Oryzias latipes: one gene and its partners. The protein of the gene in region 3 purifies or fractionates together with the protein of the main gene of each other region. This does not show direct contact. Links are inferred from orthologs where the notes say so. Each region holds a gene or a part of one and is shown on either strand. Other genes may lie near its edges.

What was found.
Region 1: the proteins of stat3 (region 3) and ptpn11 purify together in Homo sapiens (affinity purification with western blotting; 3 studies listed by BioGRID). This does not show direct contact. The link is inferred for Oryzias latipes from reciprocal best matches to the Homo sapiens genes STAT3 and PTPN11.
Region 2: the proteins of stat3 (region 3) and hif1a purify together in Homo sapiens (affinity purification with western blotting; 4 studies listed by BioGRID). This does not show direct contact. The link is inferred for Oryzias latipes from reciprocal best matches to the Homo sapiens genes STAT3 and HIF1A.
Region 4: the proteins of stat3 (region 3) and hdac3 purify together in Homo sapiens (affinity purification with western blotting; 4 studies listed by BioGRID). This does not show direct contact. The link is inferred for Oryzias latipes from reciprocal best matches to the Homo sapiens genes STAT3 and HDAC3.
Region 5: the proteins of stat3 (region 3) and trim59 purify together in Homo sapiens (affinity purification with western blotting; 4 studies listed by BioGRID). This does not show direct contact. The link is inferred for Oryzias latipes from reciprocal best matches to the Homo sapiens genes STAT3 and TRIM59.

What each region holds. Positions count from the first base shown.
Region 1 is NC_019870.2:1,412,420-1,415,940, forward strand, and holds part of ptpn11 (tyrosine-protein phosphatase non-receptor type 11), read right to left. Parts: coding exon 3,520-3,521; intron 2,998-3,519; coding exon 2,884-2,997; intron 1,076-2,883; coding exon 979-1,075; intron 903-978; coding exon 823-902; intron 742-822; coding exon 583-741; intron 1-582. UniProt on the Homo sapiens protein: Acts downstream of various receptor and cytoplasmic protein tyrosine kinases to participate in the signal transduction from the cell surface to the nucleus. Positively regulates MAPK signal transduction pathway. Dephosphorylates GAB1, ARHGAP35 and EGFR.
Region 2 is NC_019880.2:11,968,840-11,973,082, forward strand, and holds the start of hif1a (hypoxia-inducible factor 1-alpha), read right to left. Parts: upstream 2,808-4,243; 5' UTR 2,524-2,807; coding exon 2,492-2,523; intron 1-2,491.
Region 3 is NC_019866.2:6,345,273-6,349,298, reverse strand, and holds the start of stat3 (signal transducer and activator of transcription 3), read left to right. Parts: upstream 1-1,224; 5' UTR 1,225-1,423; intron 1,424-3,557; 5' UTR 3,558-3,579; coding exon 3,580-3,707; intron 3,708-4,022; coding exon 4,023-4,026. UniProt on the Homo sapiens protein: Signal transducer and transcription activator that mediates cellular responses to interleukins, KITLG/SCF, LEP and other growth factors. Once activated, recruits coactivators, such as NCOA1 or MED1, to the promoter region of the target gene.
Region 4 is NC_019868.2:25,320,129-25,322,563, reverse strand, and holds part of hdac3 (histone deacetylase 3), read left to right. Parts: coding exon 1-8; intron 9-90; coding exon 91-146; intron 147-215; coding exon 216-430; intron 431-500; coding exon 501-574; intron 575-647; coding exon 648-712; intron 713-793; coding exon 794-883; intron 884-971; coding exon 972-1,030; intron 1,031-2,435. UniProt on the Homo sapiens protein: Histone deacetylase that catalyzes the deacetylation of lysine residues on the N-terminal part of the core histones (H2A, H2B, H3 and H4), and some other non-histone substrates.
Region 5 is NC_019871.2:13,509,642-13,513,709, forward strand, and holds the start of trim59 (tripartite motif-containing protein 59), read right to left. Parts: upstream 2,801-4,068; 5' UTR 946-2,800; coding exon 691-945; intron 619-690; coding exon 400-618; intron 167-399; coding exon 1-166. UniProt on the Homo sapiens protein: E3 ubiquitin ligase involved in different processes such as development and immune response. Serves as a negative regulator for innate immune signaling pathways by suppressing RLR-induced activation of IRF3/7 and NF-kappa-B via interaction with adapter ECSIT.

The DNA of each region.
Region 1 (3,521 bases), on a different chromosome or scaffold from region 3:
ACCTTGAGTTTAGAGAATAAAACCTGCTCCCGACCAGGTTAGGTTCACAGCATAAGTAACCATGGATACTGACTCCGAGTAAAAGTTACCTCTCTTTCAGAAACGGGTTTGACTTACTCTGCTTTCTCTGGTTTAACAAACCTCCCATTCTGAAACGGAAAACCCAGGGTTTCCCTGATTTCAGGGTTAACGCACTCAGAGTTTACACTTAACCTCCTTTCTGAAACAGGCCCCTGGAGTCAGACATTTGTTTGGATTCAGTCAAACAAACTCAGATTATCTAAAACCCTTCAATGATTAGAAAGAAGTTTAATACAAAAAGGAGTTTTTAGAATGAAAAAAGCATATTTACGGTACAGACCAAAAGTTTGGACACACTGAATGAGAAGCTGTGAATGTACTGTATATGCTCAGTTTTATATAGATATTATACTTATATATATTGATATATTCCACAAAGGAATTCAAAGGGGAAGAAAGGAAAACGGTCAGATCACATTGGTCAAAAAAAGCTGAAAGCCTCCAAAAGATTTTGCTAAAAAGAAGCGATAAATGTATGGAAGACTTGTCGGCGGCCCTCACCTTTCCTCGTTCCACCTCTTTGGTTGTCATGACGATGACCCGCGAGTTCTCCTGAAACACCATCCTCCAGAAGTCACTGATGGTGTTCTGCAGGCAGCCCTGAGTGGCGATGTAGCTCTTCTTCAGCTTGTGGCTGTTGCACTTGGCGTCCAGCTCCGGCTGCAAACCGGCAGAACCAGAAGCTGCACAAACCCGAGCGCAAACGGACCCGCAGAGCCGGACGGCGAGAGGGAGGCTCACCATGATGATGTTGGCGTTGATGTAGTCCGAGCCGGGCTCGTTGGGGTCCCCGTCGTTCAGCACCACCCGCGTGTGGTCGACTGCAAACACAAACGGCAGATGAGAAGAGGGCGGGGTCGAGCGGCCTGGAGTGGCGGCGGCGCCGGGGGCTCTCACAGGGCAGGATGTTCTTGTAGCGGTTCTTGTTCTTGTTCTCCGCCCTCTGTCCCTCTTTGCGGCTGTACAGCAGTTTACACTCCTGCTGCTGCAACGTCTGCATGCAGAGAAAAGAGGAAACTCCAGGTTCAGATCTGCTTCTGGACACAGCTTTAGCGGCGTTTGGCAGAAAACGCCGACACAAACGTGAAGCTGCACGTTCATGTAAACACAAATTCTATTATTCTATTTTATTCATCATAGCCGCTTTTTCAACAACTGTAGTTTATTGAGGACGTTATTCCAAATATCTGTACACGTCTATACACTCAAAAAAATTGGATGAACTCAATTTAATTGTGGGCAGGATTTCCATCCAATAAATATGAGTCGCACCAAATCAAAAAAATTCCTCCATGTAATGAAATATAATCGAGTTAGTCGAACTCAATTTTATCAAGAAGACAAAGCAAAAAACATGGTGTGACACTATTCTGGAAGGTAGAACCTCCACATGCAGACAGACTGATCCACTGAGCCGACTCTCCTGTGGCCTCAGGCATCCAACACTATAAAGACAGAATCATTTTCTACATAAATGAGGTTTGTCGTCTTTGATCTTACTGGGAGAAACCCAGTTGAATCCATTCCAAGCCACAGTACCTTTTTTACGTGGAAAAACACGAACAAAAGTTCAAAGGATTTGAAGGACCAAAAGTCATGGCAGGCATTAGACGAAAGAGCTGAACGTTTTAATAGTTGAATGGTTAAAATAGGTGAAAAATTGTAGCCGTAAAACGGCGGAAGATACTATAAGAAGAATAAATAAAGAGAAAGAGGAAAACAGCATCCAACCAATTAAAGAATAGAATCACAGAAGAAATGATTTTGCAGAAGGTGCAGTCTGCACATGTGCACAGCATGCCCCCTAATTATGAATTTATTTATTCAATACTGGAGTTTATAGGTGAAACTATTAATACATTTTATGTTAGGTCAATTAAATATAGATACATATTTTTAAAATAAATATATTTAAATAAAACAAACGGCATTTACTTGTGTTGTTACATGAAAGAGGGTTTGAATCCCTTTTTTGAGTGTAGTTTTTTCCCAAATACTTTGTTTTTTTTAAAAGTAAATTCAGAAAATGATGAAGTGACATTTCTGCACAGCAATCACTCCTCATGGTTATTGATCTGTTAGAATAACACAAAGACTGCTGCCCCTAAAGCCAAAACTACACTTCTTCTTCTTCAGGTGATTGAAGCTGAACTTCTGGAAAAAAACACAGGAAACCGGCTCCATCTGCTTTCAAAATAAAAGTCTTCTGACATGATGAGGACTTCCCCTCTGGCTCCCCAGACTGCTGACATTGCAGGGACGTTTGGAGCTGTAGGGGTGTCTGAAAGTGTTTCTTTGAGGAGGAGCCGCAGTGACCCACGGCTGGGTATTCCTCTGCCGGTGGGGGGGGTCCGCGTCTCGCTGGCACGCCAGGAAAAAGGCTTTTCTTTAGGCGGGTGTGCTCTGAAGCACAGAGGTTCATGACTAAATGTAAGTATTGGCTTCCATGACAACGTTTTAAAGTTATAAACCACTGTATTATGGCAGCTACACGCCAGCGGGGGAGACCGGCGACCGTTGATGATGTCATGGAGTGGTAGTCATGTCCGGATTTTCCATAACCGTCTTGGAGGGATAAATGTCGGGGTAGGGGATGAATTCAGATTCAGCCTAAACGTTGGAGGAATGTCTTTTGAGTTCCAGTACAAACACTCATCAAGCACATCAGAAAGATCCTTCATGATTCTGACCGTTAAACGTGCTGCTGCCGCCGCTGAGGTTACGGTGGGATTTCAGAGTAAAAGCACGCTCCCTGTGCCTTCAGAGTAAAAGCAGGTTGCTCCTCTTTCTCAGACCACTCACCTCAAACTCCTCCCAGAAGCCCTGCTTCACCTTGTCCGTGGCCTCGGCCAGCTTGCTGAGCTCACGGACGCGGCTTTCGATCTCCGCTGCGTTGATGCGCGTCGTGTTGAGCGGCTGCAGACCACAGCAGAAAACATTTAGTGCAAAGGTCGCTCCTGAAGGTCAAGACGGCGCCACATTAGAACATGAAGACATTACGGAACAGACAGGAAGAGATTATAGACATGTTTCATGCAAACGGTGAACAGAAACTTGGTGTTTACAGACTTTTATATATTTATTTGAAAGATAATTGGCTGGTTTCTTCAGACGAGTGTCAACGACAGGAAAGAATCCTCTGATCCATGTCGACACACGGTGTTAACATGCAAACCAAATGTCCCGCCACAGGGAAGGTGTGCAGGAATGCCTTCTTTCCATCCATTTAAATGTAAATACATCTACTTTCTAAAGTTTATAGGTTTTTTTTGTTGAATTTGAATGTTTTTCTTTAAACAAACGGAGGCAGGAAAAGGACAAACACTCTGCATTAACGCAGACATAAACCCAAGCTTCTCTCACGTGGAACCAATCCAGCTGTTTATTCTATTGTTTCCACGGAAACCCCTCGGGGGGGGCGGCGTGAGACTCCCAGACCT
Region 2 (4,243 bases), on a different chromosome or scaffold from region 3:
TGAGCGCCTGCTGCTCTTTAGCTTCACTATTGGGTCAAAAAGCAAGTTTTGACATTGCTCAAACTTGCTTTTATTAACATCAAATATAAGTGATGGAGCATTCTTGTGAATTTATCCCGACGTTAGCATGATAATCGCCACAAATTTTCATGTATAATAAAATCATCAATCATATTTTTTTTTCTAAGATTTCTTTTTAGTTGCTTCTGGGCCCATAACCCGTTGATCTTTGCAGCTTTAACACCAAAAAAAACAAAAAAAACAACTCAAAAGACAAAGAAACAATCTTCGTTAGCCTTTTGGCATATTTATGAGGGATCAAAAAGTTAAACAGCTCACAAGAGTTCCTCTCACTTAAGATTTCTGTTATGACATAACATCCATCTCTGACCTCTAAGTCTGCACTTCCCAGTGGTTAAAACCCCCAACATAGTCACAGTAGGTAATTATACAAAAATCCTAATTTCAACTTTAATTTAATTCAATTCAGGAAACAGCCATAAAGTTATATTTTTGGCAAAAAACAGAAACATGTCCTTCTATATAATCCAGGTAATCTGTTTCTAGTTCTAACTAGTCTGCTCCTTGAATGCCTCACAGGAAGCACCCATCGCCACTCAGTGAATTCCTACACACTTTTAGCCACTCCCATTGACGTCAAGACCCTGTGATTAAGAGATGAGACAGAAATTATAGCAAAACAATTTACGGAGGTCTGAAAGAACTAAATCAGAATAAACTGCCACAATGGCCAAGACTGAACACGTGTTTATTTCCAGTTTAAATGATGACCCCATTATCTAGATCTAAACAAAGCTCTAAAACCACCACACATTTAGCTGTTTAGGCAGACAGATGCAGTAGGATATGTACTTAGTTTTCAACTTTTAGCCACTCTTTGTGCTTGACCAGTGTAAAAAAATAAAGTTTTCTTTCTGAACTATAAGGGTTTTTTCATCACAAATTTTTACTACTATTCACTATGTTCATATTTTTCACCAGCAGCTGAATCATAATCATTATGAGCTTTTGTAGGTAAAAATTTTTTGTTATTAAGTGGTACATCAGGGAATTAAAGTTATGGGGGGGGGGAAGTCAGAAAATATGTCTTGCTGGGAGGAAACCTTTTTCTTTTTACTTTTTCCTGTTGAACATACATTTCTTTATTACATTTCTGCTTCATGCAAAATACTGTATACTAAATGTTCAAAGTTACATGGCTGTTTTAAGATGAGAAACTTACATTACAAAAGTTATAAAATAATATGTAAAATCTAAAAATTAATATGTATTATGTCTATAAAAAATGTCAACAAATATTTTGATTAATATTTTAAACCAAAATGTCAGATCAATTGTAATAGAGTAAAGAACACAATTATTTTATCATAAATATCCTACTTTGTCAATGTATTAAAATCCAGACATCATTCAATTTAGTAAAATGTGATTACCCTTCATTGCATCAGCTTTGATAAACTGGTAGTTCAGTTTACAAATGAGTTGTTTTTATCAATAATTTCTATTCACTGAATTGTACATTTTATTATAGAATGATTGTTAATTTTGTGTAAAAAAACTACAACTTTCAAATAATAAACATGGCTGCCTAACCTTAAAAGTAACGAAATTAACTGAAACTTTAAAGTTTCTCTGTTGCACGACACTTGTACAACCTTTATATCTTACATCATTATTACTATTGTTGCTATTATTATTATGGTTGAGTGTTACTCTAAATCTAATTATTTTTTGGAAAGCAATAATAATATAATACCAAAGGCATTTGGTGAAACAAATTTTTTCTAAAATGGGTTTTTAAAAAGCAACTTTCAGCAAAACAAAAGGCTAAAACAAGAGTTTTAAAATGAATCTTTAGTCTCAAATTCAAAACGACTAAAACTTAAGCAGACAAGGAGGAACTTCAGGCCACAAGTCACACGTGAGCAGCAGGTGTTCACTGACCAGTCAATACTATTAAACCACATAAATCCACTGATCTACTCAAATGTAACTAGATGTATAAAAACTGCAAATATTAATCGAAGTATTATTAATTATTAAGATTTAGAAAATCGACCACATCTGCTGGGATCTAAAGAAGTTTCCGAACAAAAAGCACATGATGATGGAGGGAAACGCAGAGAACGGTTTTAATGACGTAAATAAACTACATTTTAAAAATTCCAGCACATTAAATTATTTCAATATAAAGATTTAGTGTAAATAGACAGGTTGACGCCGACCTTTCAATATAACACCATTTCCGACAGCTAGCTATGTTAGCATTTTTGCTAACGACACTACTAGCAGCGATGACATTCGTATGAAGTCCAACAAACACACCAAACTGGCAGTAAGCTAGAAATTTTGGACCGTAGAGAGTAGTAAACGTAAGTGAATATTAAAGTTCTAACAAAAGAAAAACATGTTTAGAAATGTTTAAAACGAAAAGCAGACGAGTAGCGGCGTTAGCAAACTGTGACGTTACCTTTTCTTTTCGGGTACAAATCCTGTGTCCATGTCAGGACGAAAGGACTTGAGTTTAGCCTCTCTATCGGTGTGAAGCTGTATCCGGGCGCGTCAGAAAATGAACCACAATCCCTCAATGTTAATCCGTTGCCTCTCAAGTGGGTTGCATAAGAGTTCGAGGCAGATATCCTTTGTTGGATAAATCAAACTCTCTTTGGCTCAAATCGGGCTATTCGGTATACTTTCCGTAGGGTTAAGGAAAATGTGCCACGCAGGAGACGCGCTTCTTGCTAAGACAATGTTGCCTCGCGAAGGATCGTTGACTCCTCCTGCTGCCTCCCGGGAACGCGCAATCACGTGTCCTTATTTTCCACCAACGGGGGCGCGCGCTGCAAGCTAAAATCACCTGCTGCTTAAAATTGCACACATTTTTGCTGCCTGCATGGCGCGTGACTTATTAAAAGTAATGCAATTTTAGGGCAAATAGGTTAAGGTATGTATGTTCCAGGGAATAATTGATACAAGATTTTTAAATTGTATCTAAACATACAAAAAATGTGTAATTGTTTACATCTTATGTTTTTTATACAAATTCTACCTTTTAAGGCCTTTTGCAATTTTTTTTAATTTACCTTATTTATGCTATTTATGTGCTTTTATAGTGGAAACATCTTTTGTTTTGAGTAGTCTGTCACTATTCCTTGTCAGACACATGGATGGATCAACACAAACAATGCAAAGTTAACATTTGCCTTACAAAAATAAATGGAAAGTTACTATAAAGTATGTTTTCTATTTGTGTTGTAATCTGCTCCTAAAATTCAAAGACACAATTCTGTAAAAATGAAAATAAAAGGTATCATTCGACAGAGAAAAAAAAACTTTTCCTTGACTCATTTAGAGCTGCTGCAGAAACAGCAAGCTTGAGAGTACAAAGCAATAGGCCTGTGGACTGGAAATGCATCAACCTGAAGATTGCTATAGGGGAATTACTTGGAGGGTCTCTGTGTGGAGTCTTTTTCATTATCTCCTCCGATTCAAGGGATTATCAGTCAAAGATGCTGGACAGCAGAGTGAGATTGGGGACTCAATAAGGTTTTGCTGGAAGCTGCCGGAAGCTCTGGATGTAATTAAAGATGGGGTGGATTCAGATATAACCTACAGACAGCTGCCAAACATGACATATATACAGTATACACAAACCGTGGTTATGTTGCAGGTTATTACTTAGGAGGAAAATCCTTAATAAGGTAACTGACTTCTTGGGTTATTTTTTATCAGACACGGTTTGTGTTTTTACACATACCTGACATAACCCAATAAGTCAGTTAATCTTATAGACACAATGAACTTTATTGACTTAATAAGGGAAGTCTTAACAGGTCAGCAGACTTTGATGTAAATTTATATGCATTTTTTGTTGAAAAATGAATGAAAGCAAAATTTTTTCTTTTGTCTTGAATCAGCTTCTAGTCCACCACAGAACACGGGCTTGAAGTGATAAACACACGTAGAGCTCAGCGACTTCCACATTCAAACTCACAGGAAGGGTCCGTCTGTGCCGTTTTAACCTCAAGAGCTTAGCGGGGCTCATTTTTTTTGCCAAATCTCCAAATGCTTCCCCACGTAGCAGACAAGAAAATACTGTCACTCATGTTTTTTTTCCTGTTTCGATTAAAAGCGATTGTAGAGACGTTCTGTGGTTTCCTGTTTATCCTCTCTTGGTCTGCAATGAGAAAATGTGCGAGTCGAGGCAAATGTGGATTACACA
Region 3 (4,026 bases):
GATTTGGTCCTGCACAACCAAAACTTTCATGGTTTATTTTTCATGGAAACCAGGTGAATTTGTGTGTCTGTTTCTGAATAAAGTGTGTGCACTGCAATTTGAAAAAAAAAAGACTCTGTTCATTAATCTTGAAGAAAAAAAGTCATTTTCTCTTGAAGAAAGGAGCCAAACAAAATGAGAAAAAGCTACTGTAATTGAAATTCTGCAGCTGATAGAATAGATTCAGCCGGTGACACCTCATTTCATTAAAAGCTAAGGACACACGGCTCCAGACAGGAGCAAAGGGTGGTTCCTCTTTGTCTCCCTACAGAGTTGTGATGACCTTGATGTGATGGAGACACATAGACACTCACTCTCTGGCAGAAAACAGCATTAAAATAATCAATGGGTGGGAAAATGCAATTAGGGAGAGTGCACTCTCAGAGCAGGATGGAGAGCAGACTAAAAGAGAAATAAAAAGCATGCACAGGGGTGGAATGATGTTGGTAGAAAATAAGAATGTGTTTATTAATAAGCACATTATTTACAATGGTGGAGGCAGGAAATATGTGTTTTAAGCCTGTAAAATAATACTTTTTTTGTACATTATAGAGTTATTACTTCTAAGAATCATGTGTTTCACTACAGTACATTTGGACTTGTTTAAATTTACAGTCATAACTAACACACTAGGAATAAGGTGAATACATTGCAACAGCAATGTAAGACCTGTTTTGGTTATGTTATTTGCATTTTTAATTAAAAATAAAGAAAACTGTACAACTTTATCGTTTGTTTACATTTTAATATTCAAGCCAGCAGTCAGAGTAGTCAATTAGTCATCATTTCTTTTTTTACTCTTCTACCGTGAAAAAGGTCTGGCTATTGTGAAGCAGTATCATTATCAAATTTGATGACGTCAACGTTGCCGGTAACTCAGATGACTTCCAGGCTGGCTGTTCTCTTGAAATACCAACCCTCCCTCTGAAATAAGCGAAACACACGGGCTTCCGTATAGTTCCGCGGGAGGGAGGGTTTGCTTTGAGGAACAGCTTCGTTGCGACAGCGGTAAACAGAGAAGGCTCAACCAAACTTGCTGCTACATCCCGCCTTATCTCCATATAAAGTCGTTTATAGTTGGTATAAAAAAAATTAGCGACTCTCATTGGCGGAATGAAATGTCAACCAAGTAGATTTGGAAGTTTGTTTGGCTGGAAAGACTGCAGTTTAGTTGATGGGCTGGGCGGGGGGGTACTTGTTTCTGAAAGTGGTTTCTCGTGGTGCGAAGATTACGGTTTGCGTTACACTATATTTGGGAGCACTTTTCCTCGTTTATGACGCTCAATTTCTACTTTTTCTTCGTTAAAAAGTTGTCGCTGACGTCTTTGTGAGCTTGTGTTTTTTGTGGGAAAGAGACCAAACTGCTCCGGATCCAACGAAGGTGGTAAGTCGTGACTCAGCTGTTAACATATTATTACACTAAAAAAAAAAAAAAAAAAACAAAGAAAAATTCAAAATATTGCCATTGTATTAGTTAGTTTTCTCCAAGGATGTCGTGCTAAAGCGAAGCTAGAGCTACAGCCATAACTTAGCTACAGTCAAATGTAATATAATTCTGTGAATGCATCATGCCTAAAGTTAGTGACAGACAGACAGACATCGTGTGCCAGGGGTCTTTCTTACGTAAGTCTTTAAACTAAAGCCATCACACATTTCAATGTTAGTTGCTGAGTGACGTTAGTTAGTAATAATATCACGACCAGGACTCAAAAGTGATGACGTTTTTGTGTTTCTTTTTCGACTATCCGGTGGTTGGTGCCTTAAATTTAAATAATTTACTTGTATGGAGGTCGTTGTTTATTGTTTTTTTCCTTAGTTGTCCCGCCCATCATATTTATGAAGAAAAGTACTGTTGTTCATTCGTAGCACAAATAAGATCTGCAGGTATATTTAAGCCCCCAATAGTTCTGAAAACGTACATAGAATTACATATACATGTATAGTATAAAGCATAAATATGGCTGCATGACAATTTTCTACATAAATATCATAAAATAGCATGCATTGTTGTCCCTGAGCCATCTCGCAGTCCCAGGCTTTGTAAAAGGGAAACTTGGCATGGTGACTGTGCTCTGATGTTTAATAAGGAAGTACTTTCCTGGAATATCACTGACCTTATGTAAGGATTGTGCATTACCAGTAAGTAACCACACAGAAAAGAAAAAAAAACACTACAGCAGTTCTCTTTCTGACTTTCTTATTAATCATTCTGATGATTTCTCAAATAGCAGTGACCTGCATGGAGCTTTGAGAAAGGAAAGAAAACGATTAATCAGTGACTGTAGTGAATTTGTGCGATTTTACATACCTAGATTTCTCAACATGATGCAGCAATGTCTACTTCATATTTCATTAAAATACAAAGATCAAACAGAAAGTTTCAGTGTTGTTGTTGTTGTTGTTGTTTTACTTTTTAGTACAAGGCTTTTCTGAAAATTTGTGATAAAAGTACTCCTGTATTTTTTCATGTAAGGAGGTTCGTTACAAGATTTTGCTTGTATTGCGATTATATATTATTATATATAATTTGCTGCAAAATAACATTAAAATAGTGATAGTACCCTAAAATGAGTTTCCTGTGTTGTGTCAGATAAGCTCTGAATACTCCAGTTTCAGTTTTGCTGTTAGAATAAATAGCATAAAACATTTTTTGTTTGTCCAAATGATATTTATTGCAATGAAAGTTCATACCCTGTATATTATTACAGCTTTGATCTGTATTCTCTGGGCAGGAAGAGCATTATTTTGGCTATTGAGAAGGTCATATGTATGAGTTTATTTTTTGTTTTGCTTTTTTCAAATACAGTGCAAGCATCTAGTTCACATTAGCAGAATCAACAATACAGACACTGTTGTGAGAAAGCTTGTGTAACAATAGTCAAAGCATTGTGTGAGCTTTCGGACAGAAACTGGAGCCTGTAACCTAATATGGGTGGTACAGGACATGTCTTTCTGTTAAATGCCTTGAATGGGAGCTCAATTTGCAAACAAGGAAGCAGTAGCCATCTTTTATCAGCTGAGTCAGCCAGCAGGATGTGATCGATAAATTCAAAAACAACAAAAAGTCCCAGATCGGCAGGTGGTTAATGCTTAAAACACACGCTCGGATTTGAAGGGAAATCCTAATCTGACAGTCGCCTATCGCTTCAGAGGAAATGGTTTGTCTGGGTTTTGATCCATGCCCTCTGCATCTGAGAGGAAGAAGTTTGCTTTGTCGGTGTTTCATGCAAAAGTTGCCGGGGCAATTCTTTGACCAGAGATAAGCTTTTCAATGCTTTACAGCTGTTCACTCTGACCTATATTTTTTAGGGGAAGGCACAGTTTCAGAGAACAGGAAATGACTTTTGGCAACGCGAGGCCTCAGCATTGGCCTGTTGTCGTTTTCAGAGAAATCTGATGTTCAACCATTTCCCATTGGTGCAGTCTGATGAAGAACATTGAGCGCGGTTTTCTAAAGTATCATTTTCTGTTGATTTTCTGCCTGTTTTGTGTTGATAAAGCAGTTTCATCTCTGGCAGATTTGAGGCAGTGCTTGTCAGGATGGCTCAGTGGAACCAGTTACAGCAGCTGGAGACCAGGTATCTGGAGCAGCTCTACCACTTGTACAGCGACAGCTTTCCAATGGAGCTACGCCAGTTTCTTGCACCCTGGATTGAAAGTCAAGACTGGTAAGAAATGATTCAAGTCTTTGTTTAAAAAGTCTGCTTTTATCTGCTAGATAAAGCTGACCTTGATCTTTCAGGGCTTTTAGGTTTGCAGCTATGAAGTCATAGCTCATATAAACACTTTCTCTCACATTTTATGTTACTGCAATGCACTTTACCATGTTCAATTTGAACTTTTTGTGTTGTGATCACACACAAAAATTATAGTCTTTAAATATTTTCACAAAGTTGGGATTTCTTTTCAATAAACCTGGGAATTTTGTGTTGTTGGAATCTGGAAATCGATATGTTTTTGTGTTCCCCCCACTATTTTCTAAGGGCC
Region 4 (2,435 bases), on a different chromosome or scaffold from region 3:
AATTTGAGGTCGGTAAACTTCCACAGCTTCCTGTCTGTTCAGTTGAAGTGATTTGTGGTTGAAGATTTTTTTTTCTCTCTGTGTTTGCAGGCGTCGGGATTTTGCTACGTGAACGACATCGTCATCAGCATCCTGGAGCTTCTCAAGTGAGGCGGCGCTCCTCTGCACCTCCTCCGGCAGTTCCCGCCTTTTCTAAGTGTGTGTGTGTGTCGCAGGTACCACCCCCGAGTTCTGTACATCGACATCGACATTCACCACGGAGACGGCGTCCAGGAGGCCTTTTACCTGACGGACAGAGTCATGACCGTGTCCTTCCACAAGTATGGGAACTACTTCTTCCCGGGAACGGGTGACATGTACGAGGTGGGGGCCGAGAGCGGACGCTACTACTGCCTCAACGTCCCCCTGCGAGACGGCATCGACGACCAGAGTGAGGGCCGAGGTCTGCGCAGTCAGAGCCGTCTGCTGTGAGCGTGCAGTCACGGCTGTGTGTGTTGCAGGTTACCGGCAGCTGTTCCAGCCGGTCATCAAGCAGGTGGTGGATTACTACCAGCCCACCTGCATCGTCCTGCAGGTCAGCCGCCGCCGCCGTTTGTCCCATTGTGTTGTCTGCGGGTCGTTTTGAGAGCGAGGCTGTTTGTTTGCAGTGTGGGGCCGATTCCCTGGGCTGCGACAGACTGGGCTGCTTCAACCTTAGCATACGGGGACACGGGTGAGACTTTTACTCCGCGTCACGGAGGGTGGGGGCGGCGTTTCCGCGTGGTCAGCAGGATGACGGTGCTTCCTGTTTCAGGGAGTGCGTGGAGTTCGTGAAGAGTTTTAAGATTCCTCTGCTGGTGCTCGGAGGAGGAGGGTACACTGTGAGGAACGTGGCTCGCTGCTGGTTAGTGTTCCTTCAACCAATAGGTGTTACCATAGCAACCTGTGACGGATATTCAGGGTTTGTGTAACATCTGCTTTGTGGACGGCAGGACCTATGAGACATCTCTGCTGCTGGAGGAATCCATCAGCGACGAGCTGCCGTACAGCGGTGAGACGCTCCACTTCCTGTTACTGTTACACTGATCGAATTATCCAGTTTTACCGCCATCTGCTGGAAGGTCAGATCCGTTACCGCCGGTGAAGTCAGGAAAATTCAAATCAAAAGGGAGAATTTTCCAAGAAAGTCTGTTTGAGACTGACTGTGAGACTGTTTGTGTGACAGAATGCAGACGTCACTACCAAATCTGAGTCCTGATTGGACAAATTGATCTGGCTTCACTTTCAACATGCGTTCAATGGCTGCTCATTTGACGCTAGAAATGGTGGACGCAGAAGCCCAAAGCGCAATTTTACACAGACGTCAGTGGAAGTGATGGCTTGAACGGGTGTTACAGAGCTTAACTCTTGAGCTATCATATGACCCCCACCCTTACTTTGACGTGTTCTCCCCACCATGACAAAGGTGGATAAAGGTGGAAAGATTTCATGTAATCCATGGACACCAGTGAAGATCACAAATCATTAAAGAAAAAAGGTTCAGAGCACTGTCTGGTGCAGAGGTAGAGGTAGGCACAGAGGGCCGCATTCCTGCATGTTTTCCAACATACCCTGCTCTGGCATGTTCTGATTAGCTGGACACACCTGAACCAGGTAATCAGCCATGAGTTGGGCAAGAATGTCTGGAAATCATGCAAACACACCGGCCCTCGAGGCCTGGAATTGCCCACCCCTGGTCTAATGGGTCTAGATGACCCAACTCCCAATGTTAACGTGCCTAGGACAGCACAAGGGTTACCATGTCAGGGCTCGACATAGCCATTTGTCCGCTGGCCCGGTCCTGTTTTTCGAGCAGTGCGGACCACAAGACGTTATTTTTCACTTGTCCGCTCGGGCCACTAAAATATCTAACGGTTAATATATTTTTCACCTTTTTCAATAAAGTATATTTTGCGAAAACGTGTAGATTTACCTCGTCTTTATAATTCACTTTTTCTGCTAGTCCTGTGTTCAGACTTCAAGGGTTTCTATGGGAAACCTTTGATCACTCCTCTCCCGCCTGCGGGCGCGGCTGTCGCTGCCGAGCACCACGCCGCACGCGCTCACTCAATTTTTTTTTTCAAACTTTATTGAATGTAACAATTCAATACTAAACAATGTTAAACAGCAACAACGAAGGAACAAGCCAGTGGGTTATTATTACATTTTAGGCAGATATATTTAAACTGACACACATATCAGCGCGCCCCCTGGTGGTTTTTCACCGCGATGATCATAAATCCAACACCGTCACTGAAGAGAGACTGAAGCATGTCAGAGATGTGGAAGACATGGCAGGAATAGATAGGAATATGTTAGATGGAGTGACGGGTGGAATTAGTGCTATGGACAGCAAGATATTTAATGAAGGCATTGAAGATGAAACTGTATCCACTAAGCTTTAAGCTGAATGTCAA
Region 5 (4,068 bases), on a different chromosome or scaffold from region 3:
ACACCTCAGCAGCAGCTTTGTCCAGAACCTCCAGGTAAGCCTCTTTCTTTTTGGCCATTACCAACGCCAGGGAGTGAAAAAACTGGGTCACGTCGTCCCGGTCCTGTCTCAGCAAACCCTCGCATCGGGTTTTTTCCTGCTCCAGCTGCTCCCCCAGCTCACAAACCTTAAAATTCACACAACCGCACGTTCAAACTGTCTCTATTCTAGCTTTTGTTATGAAAAAATCCAAAATGCTGATGAATTTCTGACTGACAGGTTCGCGCGGGAGCCTGTCAGTCAGAAATTCATCAGCATTTTGGATTATTTCAAGCTTTTTCCCCAAAATGTTGAATGTTTTGGATACATTTTGCCATAATCTTGCAGATCTAACCACTCCGCCATGAAAGCCCCGCCCACCTCAGCCCATCTGTGCTCGGAGAGCTCGGCCAGCTGCTGGGGAGTGGCCTTCTCCCTGGCGAAAGCGGCCTGCAGGTCGTCTATGGGGTGGCCGTGGTGCTGCCCGACGGTCAGACACAGCCCGCAGATCAGCTGGCGATCCTGGATGCAGTACATGTTGAGGGGCTGTCTGGGGTGCTCCTGGCAGGACGGGGGGCGTGGCTCCTCATCTCGCTGGTACTTATAGCCCCCAAAACAGAAAAAGAACGTTAAAATTGAAACGTCCCACCGAGGCACAAAACTCCTCCACACCTTTTCAATGATGGCCCGCAGGGAGACGTTGCTGGGCAGGGCGTCCACGCCCGCCGGGGGCAGCTCCACCACGCTGCGACAGTTGGGGCATTTGATTGGTAGGCGGAGCGGGCGCCATATGGAATAGTTGGTGGACACCTGCAGCAGGTTCTCCAGGCAAGGTTGGCAGAAGGTGTGCGAGCACGGGAGGACCCGCGGGTCGGAGAACAACTGGTAGCACACCGAGCAGGTCAGGTCCTCCTCCAGGCTGTCCATGACAGAGACGGGAGGCCTGGATTAGGACTGCAGGCCTGGAAGGGAAGTCTGGAAAGTCAGGAGAACGGAAAGAAAACAGCGCATCGCACAACGGAAATAAAGCATCAAAGCAAACATATGATTAATTCTTTTATTTTGAAGCACCATGACACTTTTTATGTCATCGGATTATCTGAAAATAAAATAAAAATAAAGTATTTTAGACCATCAAGAAGGGTAATGCAATAAAGACTTTTTAGTCCCTTTACTTGTAAAAATTGAAACTCATTCAACCAAAAATTTTTAAATAATTCTGGTTGATTTCTTACTGACCACTATCAAGCAGGAGCCACAAGGTCTTACTTCATTCACCCTTTGGAAAAATAAGACACAGGTTTGTATTTATGTTGTCATTATGATAAATAGAAAAGAACACAAAACACAGAGGAAATAGCCGTTTCTTTGAGTTAACTTTAAACAGAGGTTCCCAATACTTTCTTTCAAAATAAAAGCCTCCATGTACTATAAGGATCATCTCAATGCAGCTAATTTAGTCGTAGGTAGTGTCATGTCAGCAGTAAATTATTTATTCCAGTACTGCTTACTGACCTCCAATTGATTTTTTTTTAATATGTGGCGCTCAAAAATCTGTCCATACGTTAGTTTGACTTGTGATACGTACTGTCCTTCAACTGTTTATCAATGAGTTGAACTAGAGGCTCTAGAGCTGCTGGTTCTAAACCACTGATCTAGACTTTCTAAAATGCCTTCAGTCCAATTTCAATAAAACAACATACAAACTACAGGGAATTGTTTTTCATTTTGGGCTGGACAGTTAAAATCTCCAGGAAATTCCTAAAATAAAGGAATATATTTATTTTAATCTAAACAAGCGCAATCTGAGAAATATAAATGATGAAGACCCAAATGAGAAGGTAAAAAGAGCAGCGAGAAAAATATGTATTGAAATGTAAATCTTATCATAACCCATTCGATTAATTTGTCAGCCATTATCAGTCATTACTCAAAGAGAAATAATTAAAAAAAAAAACATTGACTAGATGGAGCTCAATCCTTCAAAAGGGAAATGTGAGAGCTCTACTATTTATTTGCTAAATGAAATTGAATGTCTTGTTTCTAAAGGTTTGGCCTCTGAGCTTTTCTGCTGGCTCTCATCATCGTGTTGTGTGGGGATCAGGAGGACCGTCTCTGCTCCTGTTACAGCCGCCAGAGCAGGAACAATAGCGGCCTCGATGCCAGCTGCCACCCCGTCCCAGCACCTCAGTCCGGACAGTCTGCTCAACATGATCCGTGCGTGGAAACTGGGACAAAGTTGGCGCCGCGGTTCAAATGGACGTGAACACGTCGTGCCTAGCTTTACTTTTAGCTCATTTTAAAAACACTAGTCTAGCATCAGGAATGTTTGTGCTCGCAATTACCAAAACAAGTTCAAATCCTTTTAACTTAGCACTGCTAGCAAAGCTATCATGTTACTTCAGTGTCAGCTCGGAAATGTTTTTTGTCTTGTTCGCCTGTTAGATGTGATGGCGTAAACAATGTTTTCGTAAGGAAATTATTTGTTTCAGACTCACCGTCACTTCAGAAGGAAAGTGTCCGTCTGAGCTTCCCTTTTCCTGTTCCTACCGGTGCTGCCTTCAGGGACACTTAGAATAAATCCCTCCTAAATACAAGCTGCGGATAGAGACACGGAAGCACGCGTAATTTTAGCAGCACAAACCTATGCAAAAATTATTTAAAATACGAAATATACTAAAAATATTTCTGATTTTGGGTACATCTTACTTTTGGAAGTACAAACAACAGAAGATAAACAATTTTTTGACAGTTTCCAAATGCACCACGAAACTGCGCATGCGAACAAACTGTCTCTCTGGCCAATCAGCAGGCGCCGTCACCGATTTGAACCGAACTTCAGACGCAGGCGCCTCTCCACCAACAGAGCACACACACGCAGTCACTCAGGGTTTCACCATTTATTTTCTTGAAGATAACCCATCCTGCAGCCTTTCCCAAAAAACTTGTTCTCAGGCAAAGCCGCATTTTATTTTTTTCCTTCAATAGTTTTAGATTTGAAACCACGTTTGCTAACAAGGAATGCTGCAAAACCAAATGAAAAAAAAGGAAGGAAAAAAAACTATGTTTAAACAGAAGGATCGTGAGCACAATGTGTAATCATCACTACAGTGTATCAAGGTAACAAAAACTGAAAAGGGGGGGGTAAGCTTGTACACCTAGCTGGTAAGAGGAAGAAAGAGGGGGACTGCAGGGTACTCATGTTACAGCAAATTTGTTTGCCAGTTTATATATTATTTAGGGAAACCCACAAAGAACAACTCCAGTCTGCATTTGGGACACCACAAGAAAAAGGACTTTTGAGTCCCTCTTTAATTGATATACATTAGCAGATTAATTCCTGCTGCTCCTGAAATAAAGTTAATGTTCTCTCAAGTATCACGAAAAGGGATCGATGGATCTGTCTAGAAAAATCAAAAGCCGGGGTTGCGCCGCATAATCCGGAGAACGTTTGCAGGTAAACCCCAGAAAGATTTCAGGCCTCACTTTGCAGAATGATGTGCAAAACCATACAGATTATTTTGCAAACTGGACACTAGCATAGACTAAGGGAAGGGTAAACATGTAACATCTAAGCACAGTTTTACTTAAAAATGAAAAATTACACTGTTACCACAGTCTAAGGAAACTAAAATACCCTAAAAAGAACTGTGCTATAGTTTAGTACATGCAAAGGTTATGATTAACAATCCTATGTGACAAGGCTGTTGTTCTATTCTCCCTCGGTGATAATCAAAGCTATGGCAACAATACTGCAAGCTGTGATTTTTGCTGTAAAACTTAAATGATAAAAAGAGGAAGTTACAGGAGGAACAGATCGTTTGGTTGATTAGGGTTTATGGTGTCAGAATTTCAGAGCCCAAAGTCCGGTGCTTCAGGTTCTGGTGGAGAGGTGTAATACAATCGTCATCAAGTCACTGTTACAGAAGCAGTGAAACTAAAAGCTGAAACGGAAAATATAAACATAAAGGAAACACACTGGAGGCAGAAAGAAAAGCCCAAAAGCATCTTAATTCAATGCACTGCTGCTCCACATTGCCTTTAACATTG